Saccharomyces cerevisiae S288C: one gene and its partners. The gene in region 3 interacts genetically with the main gene of each other region. Each region holds a gene or a part of one and is shown on either strand. Other genes may lie near its edges.

Evidence for each region. Genes that interact genetically often act in the same process or in processes that back each other up.
Region 1: mutations in CAK1 (region 3) and SSD1 together harm fitness more than expected from each alone (negative genetic interaction), as found in Saccharomyces cerevisiae (3 studies listed by BioGRID).
Region 2: mutations in CAK1 (region 3) and CDC37 are lethal when combined (synthetic lethality), as found in Saccharomyces cerevisiae (2 studies listed by BioGRID, with this or other methods).

The regions. Positions count from the first base shown.
Region 1 is NC_001136.10:1,045,078-1,051,187, reverse strand, and holds SSD1 (mRNA-binding translational repressor SSD1), read left to right. Parts: upstream 1-1,795; coding exon 1,796-5,548; downstream 5,549-6,110. Other genes in the region: sphinganine-1-phosphate aldolase DPL1, read left to right, coding at 1-729. UniProt on the Saccharomyces cerevisiae protein: Can suppress the lethality due to deletion of SIT4, and partially the defects due to BCY1 disruption. Is implicated in the control of the cell cycle G1 phase.
Region 2 is NC_001136.10:788,512-792,410, reverse strand, and holds CDC37 (Hsp90 co-chaperone CDC37), read right to left. Parts: upstream 2,084-3,899; coding exon 563-2,083; downstream 1-562. Other genes in the region: STB3 (Stb3p), read left to right, coding at 1-63; TAF10 (Taf10p), read right to left, coding at 2,342-2,962; exocyst subunit SEC5, read left to right, coding at 3,190-3,899. UniProt on the Saccharomyces cerevisiae protein: Co-chaperone that binds to numerous kinases and promotes their interaction with the Hsp90 complex, resulting in stabilization and promotion of their activity.
Region 3 is NC_001138.5:77,526-80,792, forward strand, and holds CAK1 (cyclin-dependent protein kinase-activating kinase CAK1), read right to left. Parts: upstream 1,637-3,267; coding exon 530-1,636; downstream 1-529. Other genes in the region: AGX1 (alanine--glyoxylate transaminase), read left to right, coding at 1-463; putative ATP-binding cassette family ATPase CAF16, read right to left, coding at 1,819-2,688; GTPase-activating protein GYP8, read right to left, coding at 2,894-3,267.

The sequences.
Region 1 (6,110 bases), on a different chromosome or scaffold from region 3:
TTTATTGTTTCATTTATGGAAAAGGCTGGTTACAAAAATCTGCCATTACTTGACTTTAGAGTCCCGGGAGTCACCTCAATATCATGTGACACTCATAAATATGGATTTGCACCAAAAGGCTCGTCAGTTATAATGTATAGAAACAGCGACTTACGAATGCATCAGTATTACGTAAATCCTGCTTGGACTGGCGGGTTATATGGCTCTCCTACATTAGCAGGGTCCAGGCCTGGTGCTATTGTCGTAGGTTGTTGGGCCACTATGGTCAACATGGGTGAAAATGGGTACATTGAGTCGTGCCAAGAAATAGTCGGTGCAGCAATGAAGTTTAAAAAATACATCCAGGAAAACATTCCAGACCTGAATATAATGGGCAACCCTAGATATTCAGTCATTTCATTTTCTTCAAAGACCTTGAACATACACGAACTATCTGACAGGTTGTCCAAGAAAGGCTGGCATTTCAATGCCCTACAAAAGCCGGTTGCACTACACATGGCCTTCACGAGATTGAGCGCTCATGTTGTGGATGAGATCTGCGACATTTTACGTACTACCGTGCAAGAGTTGAAGAGCGAATCAAATTCTAAACCATCCCCAGACGGAACTAGCGCTCTATATGGTGTCGCCGGGAGCGTTAAAACTGCTGGCGTTGCAGACAAATTGATTGTGGGATTCCTAGACGCATTATACAAGTTGGGTCCAGGAGAGGATACCGCCACCAAGTAGCTATATAGAATCAAATCTCATACATAATTTAAAGAACGAGAGTGCAATGTGATGATTGTGATTCCTGATCCTATGTCACGGACGACGACTTGTATCACCTTGAATTTTCTGACCAAAGGGGCCGAGTCGCTTCACGAGGGGATGAGAAAGGAAAAGAAGGGAAAACTAAACTTATATAACGCAGGTGTGTCTTTCTACCATTGCCATCAAGTTATTAAAGGCCACGAACAGGAACGCTAGAGACCTGAGTTTGTCATTTGTTTAGTTCAAGGATTAAATAAACAATCCTTCTACAAATAAGTCCTTTCTTTCACCATCGTCTTAAGACCACTGCCTCCAACGAAAACTAACCTAAAAGAGTTTAGATCACGAGTATTTTCGCTCTTTCCCTCCTTCCCCTGGTTTTTTCTCGTTAGTTCTTTTCATTTAAAAACTCTTCTCTTGTCAAGAATTTAAAAGACGAAGAGTCCAACACCGACTGATTTTCTAACAGCAAAGGAACGAAGTTTTGCCGTGCAAACAATAATTTCTAAATTATAATTTTGAGCCTAGCTGAGAAATAGGAGAGATTATATTTTAGAAAGGTAAGAAGTTTTTCTGTCATTCCTTTTAGAATATTTGCTACGTTCTAACATTTTTTGTTACTCAAGCGCATTTTCTGCAACTTCCCTTATAAGCTATTTCCTTTTTTTGGGACCGATCCTTTCTTCTGTCTTTGGTAACCTAAAAACCGGAATAGTCAAAGTTATCTGCATAGTCTTCTTGCCAGGCTTATTTTCGCCATACCATTTTTCTGGTACCCTAAACATTTTGGTCTTATTTTAGAACAGCTGGTGCCTCGTTTTTCCGCATTAGGCGCACTTTTTTCATAGCCACTATTCTAAAAGAAACAACTTTTTTTCAAAGGGAAATCTAAGTTGCCTGCACGAAGAATAAGACAAGGGTTCATAAACGTATAGTATTTGCCAAGTTCCATCTTTTTCTTTGTCACTTTAATATCGCAAAACAGAACACCAAAAACCTTTCAGCGCAAAGATTTGGCCCAATTATTCCATCTTTATACACTATGTCTAAAAATAGCAACGTTAACAACAATAGATCCCAAGAGCCAAATAACATGTTTGTGCAAACCACAGGAGGTGGTAAAAACGCCCCAAAGCAGATTCATGTTGCACACAGACGTTCCCAAAGTGAGTTGACAAATTTGATGATTGAACAATTCACTTTGCAGAAGCAGTTGGAGCAAGTTCAAGCACAGCAGCAACAGTTGATGGCTCAGCAACAGCAATTGGCACAACAGACAGGACAATACCTGTCAGGAAATTCTGGCTCTAACAATCATTTCACGCCTCAACCGCCTCACCCTCATTACAACTCAAACGGTAATTCACCTGGTATGAGTGCAGGTGGCAGCAGAAGTAGAACTCACTCCAGGAACAACTCCGGATATTATCATAATTCATATGATAACAATAACAATAGCAATAATCCTGGGTCTAACTCACACAGAAAGACGAGTTCACAATCCAGCATATATGGCCATTCCAGAAGACATTCTTTAGGTCTAAATGAAGCGAAAAAGGCTGCTGCGGAAGAACAAGCTAAAAGAATATCTGGGGGTGAAGCAGGCGTAACTGTGAAGATAGATTCTGTTCAAGCTGATAGTGGCTCAAATTCTACTACAGAACAATCTGATTTTAAATTTCCACCACCACCAAATGCTCATCAGGGCCATCGTCGCGCAACTTCAAACCTATCACCTCCCTCTTTCAAATTTCCTCCAAACTCTCACGGGGATAATGACGATGAATTCATAGCAACCTCTTCAACGCACCGCCGTTCAAAGACAAGAAACAATGAATATTCTCCAGGCATTAATTCCAACTGGAGAAACCAATCACAGCAACCTCAACAGCAGCTTTCTCCATTCCGCCACAGAGGATCTAATTCAAGGGATTACAATTCCTTCAATACCTTAGAACCTCCTGCGATATTTCAGCAGGGACACAAACATCGTGCCTCTAATTCATCAGTTCATAGTTTCAGTTCACAAGGTAATAATAACGGAGGTGGACGTAAGTCCCTATTTGCACCCTACCTTCCCCAAGCCAACATTCCAGAGCTAATCCAAGAAGGGAGACTAGTAGCTGGTATATTAAGAGTTAATAAAAAGAATAGATCGGATGCCTGGGTCTCTACAGATGGCGCTCTTGATGCGGATATTTACATTTGCGGCTCCAAAGATCGTAATAGAGCACTTGAAGGTGATTTAGTCGCGGTAGAACTATTAGTTGTGGACGATGTTTGGGAGTCCAAGAAAGAAAAGGAAGAAAAGAAGAGGAGAAAGGATGCCTCTATGCAACACGATCTAATTCCTTTGAACAGTAGTGACGATTACCACAACGATGCATCTGTTACTGCTGCAACAAGCAACAATTTTCTATCTTCTCCCTCCTCGTCTGATTCGCTAAGCAAGGATGATTTATCCGTCAGAAGAAAGAGGTCATCTACTATCAATAATGATAGTGATTCCTTATCATCTCCTACCAAATCAGGAGTAAGGAGAAGAAGTTCATTGAAACAACGTCCAACTCAAAAGAAAAATGACGATGTTGAAGTTGAAGGTCAGTCATTGTTATTAGTTGAAGAAGAAGAAATCAACGATAAATATAAGCCACTTTACGCAGGCCATGTCGTTGCTGTTTTGGACCGTATCCCTGGTCAGTTATTTAGCGGTACATTAGGTTTGTTGAGACCATCCCAACAAGCTAATAGCGACAATAACAAACCACCACAAAGCCCAAAAATTGCTTGGTTCAAGCCTACTGATAAGAAGGTGCCATTAATTGCAATTCCTACAGAATTAGCTCCAAAGGACTTTGTTGAAAACGCTGATAAATACTCCGAAAAGTTATTCGTTGCCTCTATTAAACGTTGGCCAATCACATCTTTGCATCCATTTGGTATTTTAGTTTCCGAACTTGGAGATATTCACGATCCTGATACTGAAATTGATTCCATTTTAAGGGATAACAATTTTCTTTCGAATGAATATTTGGATCAAAAAAATCCGCAAAAAGAAAAACCAAGTTTTCAGCCGCTACCATTAACGGCTGAAAGTCTAGAATATAGGAGGAATTTTACGGACACTAATGAGTACAATATCTTTGCAATTTCCGAGCTTGGATGGGTGTCTGAATTTGCCTTACATGTCAGGAATAACGGAAATGGTACCCTAGAGCTGGGTTGTCATGTTGTTGATGTGACCAGCCATATTGAAGAAGGCTCCTCTGTTGATAGGCGTGCGAGAAAGAGGTCCTCTGCGGTGTTCATGCCACAAAAACTTGTCAATTTATTACCACAATCGTTCAACGACGAACTGTCGTTGGCCCCTGGCAAGGAATCAGCCACGCTGTCGGTTGTTTACACTCTAGACTCATCTACTTTAAGGATTAAATCTACTTGGGTAGGCGAATCTACAATTTCCCCCTCAAACATCTTGTCTTTAGAACAATTAGACGAAAAATTATCTACTGGAAGTCCCACTAGCTACCTCTCTACTGTACAGGAAATTGCTAGATCATTTTATGCTAGAAGAATAAATGATCCAGAAGCTACATTACTTCCCACCCTGTCCTTATTGGAAAGCTTGGATGACGAAAAAGTTAAGGTTGACTTGAACATCCTGGATAGAACTTTAGGCTTTGTTGTAATTAATGAGATTAAAAGAAAGGTCAACTCCACTGTTGCAGAGAAAATTTACACCAAACTTGGTGATCTAGCTCTTTTGAGAAGGCAGATGCAACCCATTGCAACCAAGATGGCGTCATTTAGAAAGAAAATTCAAAATTTTGGTTACAATTTTGATACCAATACGGCGGATGAATTAATCAAAGGGGTGCTAAAAATTAAAGATGACGATGTTAGAGTCGGAATTGAAATTTTACTGTTTAAAACCATGCCAAGAGCTAGATACTTTATTGCTGGCAAAGTAGACCCGGACCAATATGGGCATTATGCCTTGAACCTACCTATCTACACACATTTCACAGCGCCAATGAGAAGATACGCTGATCATGTCGTTCATAGGCAATTAAAGGCCGTTATCCACGATACTCCATACACCGAAGATATGGAAGCTTTGAAGATTACCTCCGAATATTGTAATTTTAAAAAGGACTGTGCTTATCAAGCACAGGAACAAGCAATTCATCTATTGTTGTGTAAAACAATCAACGACATGGGAAATACTACAGGACAATTATTAACAATGGCTACTGTCTTACAAGTTTACGAGTCCTCCTTTGATGTATTTATTCCAGAATTTGGTATTGAAAAGAGAGTTCATGGAGATCAACTACCTTTGATCAAAGCTGAGTTTGATGGTACCAATCGTGTCTTGGAATTGCATTGGCAGCCCGGCGTAGATAGTGCAACTTTTATACCAGCAGATGAAAAAAATCCAAAATCCTATAGAAATTCCATTAAGAACAAATTCAGATCCACAGCCGCTGAGATTGCGAATATTGAACTAGATAAAGAAGCGGAATCTGAACCATTGATCAGCGATCCATTGAGTAAGGAACTCAGCGATTTGCATCTAACAGTACCAAATTTAAGGCTACCATCTGCAAGCGACAACAAGCAAAATGCTTTAGAAAAATTCATTTCTACTACTGAAACCAGAATTGAAAATGATAACTATATACAAGAAATACATGAATTGCAAAAGATTCCTATTCTATTGAGAGCTGAGGTGGGGATGGCTTTGCCATGTTTAACCGTCCGTGCATTAAATCCATTCATGAAGAGGGTATAATCTCTTCTACCAATATCGTCATTGCTGTTTTTCTTGTTTTTCACTTTCGTTCTTTGGATTGTGCTTCACCCCTCAGTATCCCTTCCCTTTGTTTTTATTTCCTGCGAACATTAACAACTGCATGAATTTTGTACTTCTCCTTTTAATCCACGTTCCGGTAAGGCATCATCCAAATTTTTTTATTCGACCTCGTTAAGTCATATATTTTTTCCCAAAAATACATAAAACAATAATGCAGCCTTCTTTTCAATATTTACAACTTTTCAATTTATATTGTCTTTTGTTATTTATACTCTTATATATTAAATTTATTCCGTTACTAAATACCCTTTTGCTGTACAAATATCATCAAAGAGAAGTACTGAAAGCTTACTTTTTATGCGCTGGGTAATTTTTCCGGAAACAATAACGAAATCATCGTCGAGCAATTTTGCTCGTACTTCAGAAACTACTGCGTAAACATTTGAGGTCGTACAATAAGTAGATAGAAATAAATAAACCAATTTTTCGTCAGCGTTTAATCTGTAGCCAAAGATTTGTGGTATTCTCACAGTTTGAATAA
Region 2 (3,899 bases), on a different chromosome or scaffold from region 3:
CAGCAGCCAAGAAATGGGGAAGACAATAGTGCTGCGTTTTTATTAATGAGCTTAAAATCTTAAGAATTCTTTACCAGTTCCATGAAATAACAAAAAAACAGTAAAAAAAAAATGAAAATGAAAAAAGAATACATATTTTGTTTTAATGAAAGTTTGTTACCAAGTTTTGCTTTAAGTTTATCATCTCTGAATAATTATTTTGTCTTTTTTGTCACCACTTTTTTCTTGTCACATTTTTTTCTTCTTTTCATATTCATTTCATATATTAGCCCGTTCAATATATTTCAAAAGACCCAGTATTTTTCACATTTTACCCTTCCGATTCTTTGTGTAGTATATACAAATTACAAAAACACACACTGAGAAAAACATGCACTAATAAAAAATAAGATATTATGTACTAACGTAGGAAAGCAGGTACAAAACCTCTGCTGTAATTTCACGATTTTCTTTATTGATCATTAATTTTCTTCTTTTTTTTTTTTGTATTATGTATAAATGAAAATAACAATAAAAAAGGAAGTAGATGCACGCTGCACCAGTAAAATAGCTACATAAATTTCTAGTCAACAGTGTCGGCAGTATGTTTGACCTCTTCATGGTTATCTCCGCCACCATCACGGTCGTTTAAGGACAGATTCTCCATAGTGGCGTCTTCATGGTCCTGTTCGTATTGATCTTTCAAACTTTGAAAGTCTTTCTCGTTTTCTAAGATCGCTTTTATTCCAATAATGTCAATGTCATTAAACACTTCCAAAAGTTTCTCAGCCTCTTCAATTGGTATATCTTCAAAGACTTTATTAATATTATCCAAATTTTTGGTCATTATGGCTTCTTGCATTTTTTCCGGTATTAAAGTTTTGAAAACTTTAACCTTTTTCATCTCTTCTGGATCTTTAGAATTGAAGTCTGGCAAGTTTACTTCTAATTCTGTAGAATCATCTAGAGATTTCAATTGAATCGTCTCTACTCCTTCAGCATTCGATTCATCCATTTCCTCTTGTTGTAAAATTTTGGAACGTTTTTGAATGTGCAAAAATTTTTCTTGAACTGATCTCAAAAAAGACTCTTTACCCATTGGCTTGTCCTTGTTGAAGATAACCTTCTCGAAAAACATATTAATGACATTTGATAGTTCCATTGGATTTAAATATGGAATTTTCTTCATGTCGTAGATTTCCTTAATGTAGGCCATCAATTCGGATTGATGAATGACTTGCAAAGTCATCTTATCGTCACCATGTAACTGATACTCAAAGGCCTTCATCATTAAGGCGTCCTTTTGTTGTTCTGAAATAATAGGTAAGTGCTCCAGTAAGAATTTCTGAGATTTTGAGTACTCATTAATGGATATTTTACCGAATTCTTCAGTTTCCTTGGCCAGTTTCATAGGATCATCTTTAAAATCGATGAAAGTTTGCGGAACTGATGATTTTGCTAGTTTATTAAGAATATTAGACTCTGCAGCGCTCGAAAGAGCTTCTGAAGGAGTTGCTTCCAGTGGCTTAGCCCCCCCCTTTTGCTTGTTCATAAAGCTACTATCAAAGCCTGTATGAATGTCTTCAGATGAAATGTGTGCATTTTTCTCCTTGTATAATTCATCTAATTTCTTCTTAGCCTCTACAGTTACTGAATCGATCTTAGCCCTATGTTTCAAAATAGCATCCCTTATGAGAGATGGGCTCTTCGAGTCTTTGCCCTCTTTGTCTAAATCTTTTGCTAATTGTTCAAAAAGATCTTCAACCATTTCATTGTATGTTGCAATCTCAGGATCAACATTTTCCCCTTTACTTTTCTCCATCTTATCAAAATTTGCATTCAAGAATTTGGTAACGGCTGGCAAATCAGTAAGAGAACTTTCAGGTAAATTACTCAAAATTCTGTCCACTCGTTTGTTCAAATGAGAATACATATCCACTTGTGTCTCCAAATTTTTGATATCTTGGTTCCTTTTGAATCGCTGTTCATGGATACTCTGTTGTTTCCATTTAATGAACGATTTCTTGTCCACATTAGGATGCACCTCGACATCAGAATCATCTGATAGTTCAATTTTATCCCACTTAGAGTAATCAATGGCCATTTTTGACTTATGTAGTTGTTCCGTAGTACGATAGCTCGATAGTTTTTTTATCGTGATGAAGTGTTGGTGCAACGGAGGTGTTCTCTTATGTGGCAATCTTTCATGATCCTTCAGTAAAAAATCGTGAAAAACGGATGTTCAAAAAGCGTGTCAAATTTGCGTGAATAAGTGCTCTAATCAATCTAATAACGAATCGTGTATTTAAAAGAGTTGCATACTGCTACACTATATACATATTTCATTTCCATTTGTTAGCCACTAACGATAAAAGTCTGGGCGACCTATATTGAGCCCGTATTCAGCAACAGCGCTACTGAGATCGTTCACCGTCAGAACAACTTTGCTTGCTGTAGTCTTCTCATTCTGTTGATGTTGTTGTTGTGAAATCTGCTGCACGCCAGGCTGTTGCTGTCCTTGCAATAGCTGCCTAGCTCTCGCCTGACTGTTGTTAGCATTAGATACCGCTACGGAAGACCTGATCCTGGAATATTCGTAGGCATCCTTAGCTATATCACTAACAAATTTCTGAGTAGCAAGTGCTAAAAGTCGTTTCACTCGTACATCTGCTACGTTAAACCCGTTTTTGGTTAAATAGTAGTCTATTACTGCATCGGGAATGATAGGAGGAGTACTGTCCATCATCTCTAGAATCTCCTCCAGAGTCTTATCTTTTCTTGTAAATTCGGGTATACCAAATGCATTTTCACTCCCATCATCCACTACAGCCTCTCTCTTTTGCTTCTTCTTCATGTTTTCTGCGACAGAGTCATCATTATCATTGTCCCCATCATCGGCTCCCGCAACCGATGGAAAAGGTGTTTCTAATTGTCCTTCTTGATTATCATCAAACTCCGCATCGTAATCTTCCTCAAAATCCATAGTTTCAGTTATTCTTTCCTCTGTTCTTCGCTGCCAGTTCTTTTTAGCTTAGGCATGAATGCTGAATCTGCAGCTTCTTTAATTTTTCGTTTCTGTTTTCAACTTGAAAAAACAAAAGTATCAACTCCTACTATTCAACTAAAGTAACAAAAATAAGCTGCGTTAAAGCTGCTAAACTAGGAAAGAAGTTTCTGTTGAAATAAAGTAGCGAAAAAAAGTTTGGTACCATGGATAGGTTTCAAATTGGCGACGAGCAACTACTTCGTTTTTATCAGTTGAAGACTATTAATCCGACCCATTCCTGGGCCCAAGATTCCTCAAAATTGAATAATGAAGAGGCTACAAGCAATGAACTTGGCGTTGAAACGTCATTCGACATATTAAAAGACTTCAAATATGGCAATCAAATTAGCATTGACAAGGAATCGAGAGCATATTTAAACGATGAGTCGTTAAGTTATATTAGAGATCCCTTGAATGGACAAGAAATGTCTAAAGAATTGCAACATCTACCAAATGATTCAATGCGGTTGAACTATCTTGTCAACAGTAAACAATTCAACGTCAAAGCCTTTCTGAGAGATATGCACAAACAAGACTCTTTCAATGATCTAAATAACTCACTGGACAGGTTGGACAGTGATATACAAGACCAATCTATACATTTGAAACAATTGGTTGGTAAAAATTTCACCAAGTATGTTAAGATTAAAAACAAGTTAGACCAAATTTACAAAGAATTTGACGAGAAAACGAATGAAAAAAACCAATGTGATTCACCAAAAGAAAATCAAATAAATGTGGAAAGCTTAAATAAAAAGGTCGACGAGGTTATTAGAACAACAACTTTCAAACTGAAACCGCTAATGGATAACTATCAGAAAATTTTGAATTACCAGGCCACCAAAAAATTTATTGAATTGAATAAGTTTTACTT
Region 3 (3,267 bases):
TGGGTATTTTTCCTCGTTGAGAAGATGGACACCAATAATGGAAAATTATGAGGCTGGTAAAGGAGCTTATTTTGCAACCCCACCCGTACAACTAATTAATAGCCTTGATGTAGCCTTGAAAGAAATTCTCGAAGAGGGGTTGCATAAGAGATGGGATTTGCACCGTGAAATGAGTGATTGGTTTAAAGACAGTTTGGTTAATGGCTTGCAATTGACATCCGTCAGTAGGTATCCTTCTAACATGTCTGCGCACGGGTTGACAGCCGTATACGTAGCAGATCCTCCTGATGTCATTGCTTTTTTAAAGTCACACGGTGTAGTCATTGCCGGAGGTATTCACAAGGACATCGGACCCAAGTATATCCGTATTGGACATATGGGTGTGACCGCTTGCAACAAGAATTTACCGTACATGAAGAACTGCTTCGACTTAATAAAACTAGCTCTTCAGAGGAAAAAGTGATTACCCTCGTACTTTTCATTTCATATATATATATATATATATATATGTACCTATATATTCTTCTTATTATGGCTTTTCTAATTCTTGCAAGATTCTTTGACAGCTCCATCTTTCGTTTGGTGAAAATGAAACCATCCCCAGGATACAATTAATGAACTTCTGCTTGACTTTGACATCCGCAATCTCGTCCAGTCGAGGCATATTCCTCTCAACAATGCTAATCTGTACATCTTTCTCCTGGTCCAGTACATACTTGCCATCGCCATCTGCACCAAACATACCAACAAATGCATCAACCGAGCCGTGTTGCGCAACCTCTTCCCATTTCTGAATGGACGGTATGCCCAACTTTTCGAATATTGAGCAAATCAGTCTGAAATCGCTTCCATCTGAGTTCATGTCGTCGCTGCCGTCATCAATCATGGCCGGAACGTGCCCCATACGGCTTGTTTCTCTCTGGAACCACTGAGAAATAATTATCAACAACGACCACACGTCCACGCCACCATCATAGCATTTTACTCCAAAAAGCACTTCTGGGGCCTTGTAAATTCCTGTGCTTATATCCGTCACCTTGCTATCCATGGGTTCCGCACTTGTTTGTGAGTTATTTGCCATGTCATAAGAGATGCCAAAATCAATTATGTACAACTTTGGGGATACGGTGCTGGTATTGTTTGTTAGCATGATATTTTGCGGTTTGATGTCGCGGTGAATGATCTTGTTCTCATGTAAGAATGCAATCCCTTCAACCATTTGCCGGAAAAAGGACAAAGAATACCGATTGACGTCCAATTGATTAGTATATTTCTGAACGGGGGGGTCCGCAACAATTGGGATACTGGGATTTAGCAAATCGTAATAGGGATTTTTTTTTCTTCTATCTCTTTTATAGTGCATTTGCATGAACTCATAAAGGTTCATCTCTTCAAAGGGAAACAACAACAATAGGTCATTATTATCGGTAGCCTTAGACTCTAGAAGAGGTAAGATGTGCTTACATTTGTTGCCCAGTTTGTTTAATATCGATACTTCGAATTTGGCGTTATGTGGCGGGATATCGAAATCTAGTGCTAGACATTTAATGGCATATGTATCCGACCTATAAATCCTAGCAGTTCTAGTAGATTTGACCAACTGACAGTGTGTAATGTCTATACTATCCAGTTTCATTAAGATGGGCGTGAATTTTGTTGCCTCTCTTCTTCATCTGGCCTCTTTGCTTCTATGAGACTTCTGTCGTTTTCCTTTTTTTAGGATCACAAACTACTTCTATAACTTAAATAGTCAAATCACATTTTCCACTAAGATACATATTTTCTATACAGGGGGTCTTTGCAGTTATATATACTCAGTTATATACCAATCTCTTTGTCAGGAATTTGATTATCACGTTTCAACCATTCTAGTGCTAATGGATGCAAACTATTCACTTTACTAATAACAACCTTATTGTTGTCATTTTCAAAGGCCACTTGTCCATTAACTTTAGCATTGACCACTTCAGAGAACTCTACGTCTTTCTGATAATCTAAATTATCCACAATCTTACCTGATTTCATATGGTATACTTGGTTAGGCCATTTGGCCAAGCCGTCAAAAATATGTGTAGCGTAGACCACTGAGCATCTTCTGGTTTCGGTCTCCCACTTTAAAAACTCCAGAAGTCTTGCTCTGGCAATAACATCGAGATCCACAGTGACCTCATCAAGTAGTAAAACTCTCCAAGGTTTCAAGAGCCCCATGGCTAACTGAACTCTTCTCTTTTGTCCATCACTTAACCTGTGCATTCTCCAACGTACATCGATGTCCAGGATTCTAACCAATCTTTCACCTCTTTCCCTAAAATGATCGAATCCAATACTTTTTAATAGTTCCAAGACGCCGATATCCCTATTAATGATACTCATATGGCACCATTCCGTACCTAGATAAGTGGTCGTTTGGTAGTTCGTCGAATCTTCAACACTTTCATCATCGTCCACTTGATTCATAGATAATGGACTGAATGGATCAAGACCATTGACCAGGATTTTTCCATCAAGGCAAAGATGCTTACCGCTTAGTAATTTCAAAAGGGTGGATTTACCAGCACCATTGGCACCCACAACTAAAGATCTTGTATTCCATGGGATTTGAAGATTGATATCAACAACTGACGGATCGGAGCTTTCTTTGAATTTGTACGTTAGGTTACGCACCTCAATAGCAAATTGGGAAACCATCTTGAGAGTTATCTAATATCTTGATATCTTATGCAGGAGTACTGGTTTTCTCCATACTAAAAATCTCTCTTTCAGAATTTTCGTTTTTTCTTATTTGAGTCATCCTCGAAGAAATTTCCGCAGCGAATTTTAAAGAAGCACTTTATAATAATACCTTACATATGAGTTTGTTTCTATGTCATGGGTATATAAGGTATATTGTATGCTATCTAGTTGGATGCCCCAGTTTCAAAATGTCCCTAATCGGATCCACCCAGATGTGACTAACGTGGTGCAAATTTATATTTATATGTGATAAGTCTTTCAACTTTGTGGAGATCATGTAACGTAGATTGAGTACTAAACTCAACGACCTTGTAGTCCGTAATTGGTACAGGATAGCTACAATCCCGATAAGTAAAGAAATTTTGCTCCACCTGTTATATTTGGAGGGTAAAAAATGGCCAAGTCTTTGGACCAACGCCCTTGTCTTGGATCTGGCGGCGACACCATGATACTTTTCTTCCTTGTAATGCTCGTTCATCTTTGTTTGTTCGCTCAAATAGAAGATAATGGTGCTCATATCGAAGCATCCTGGCT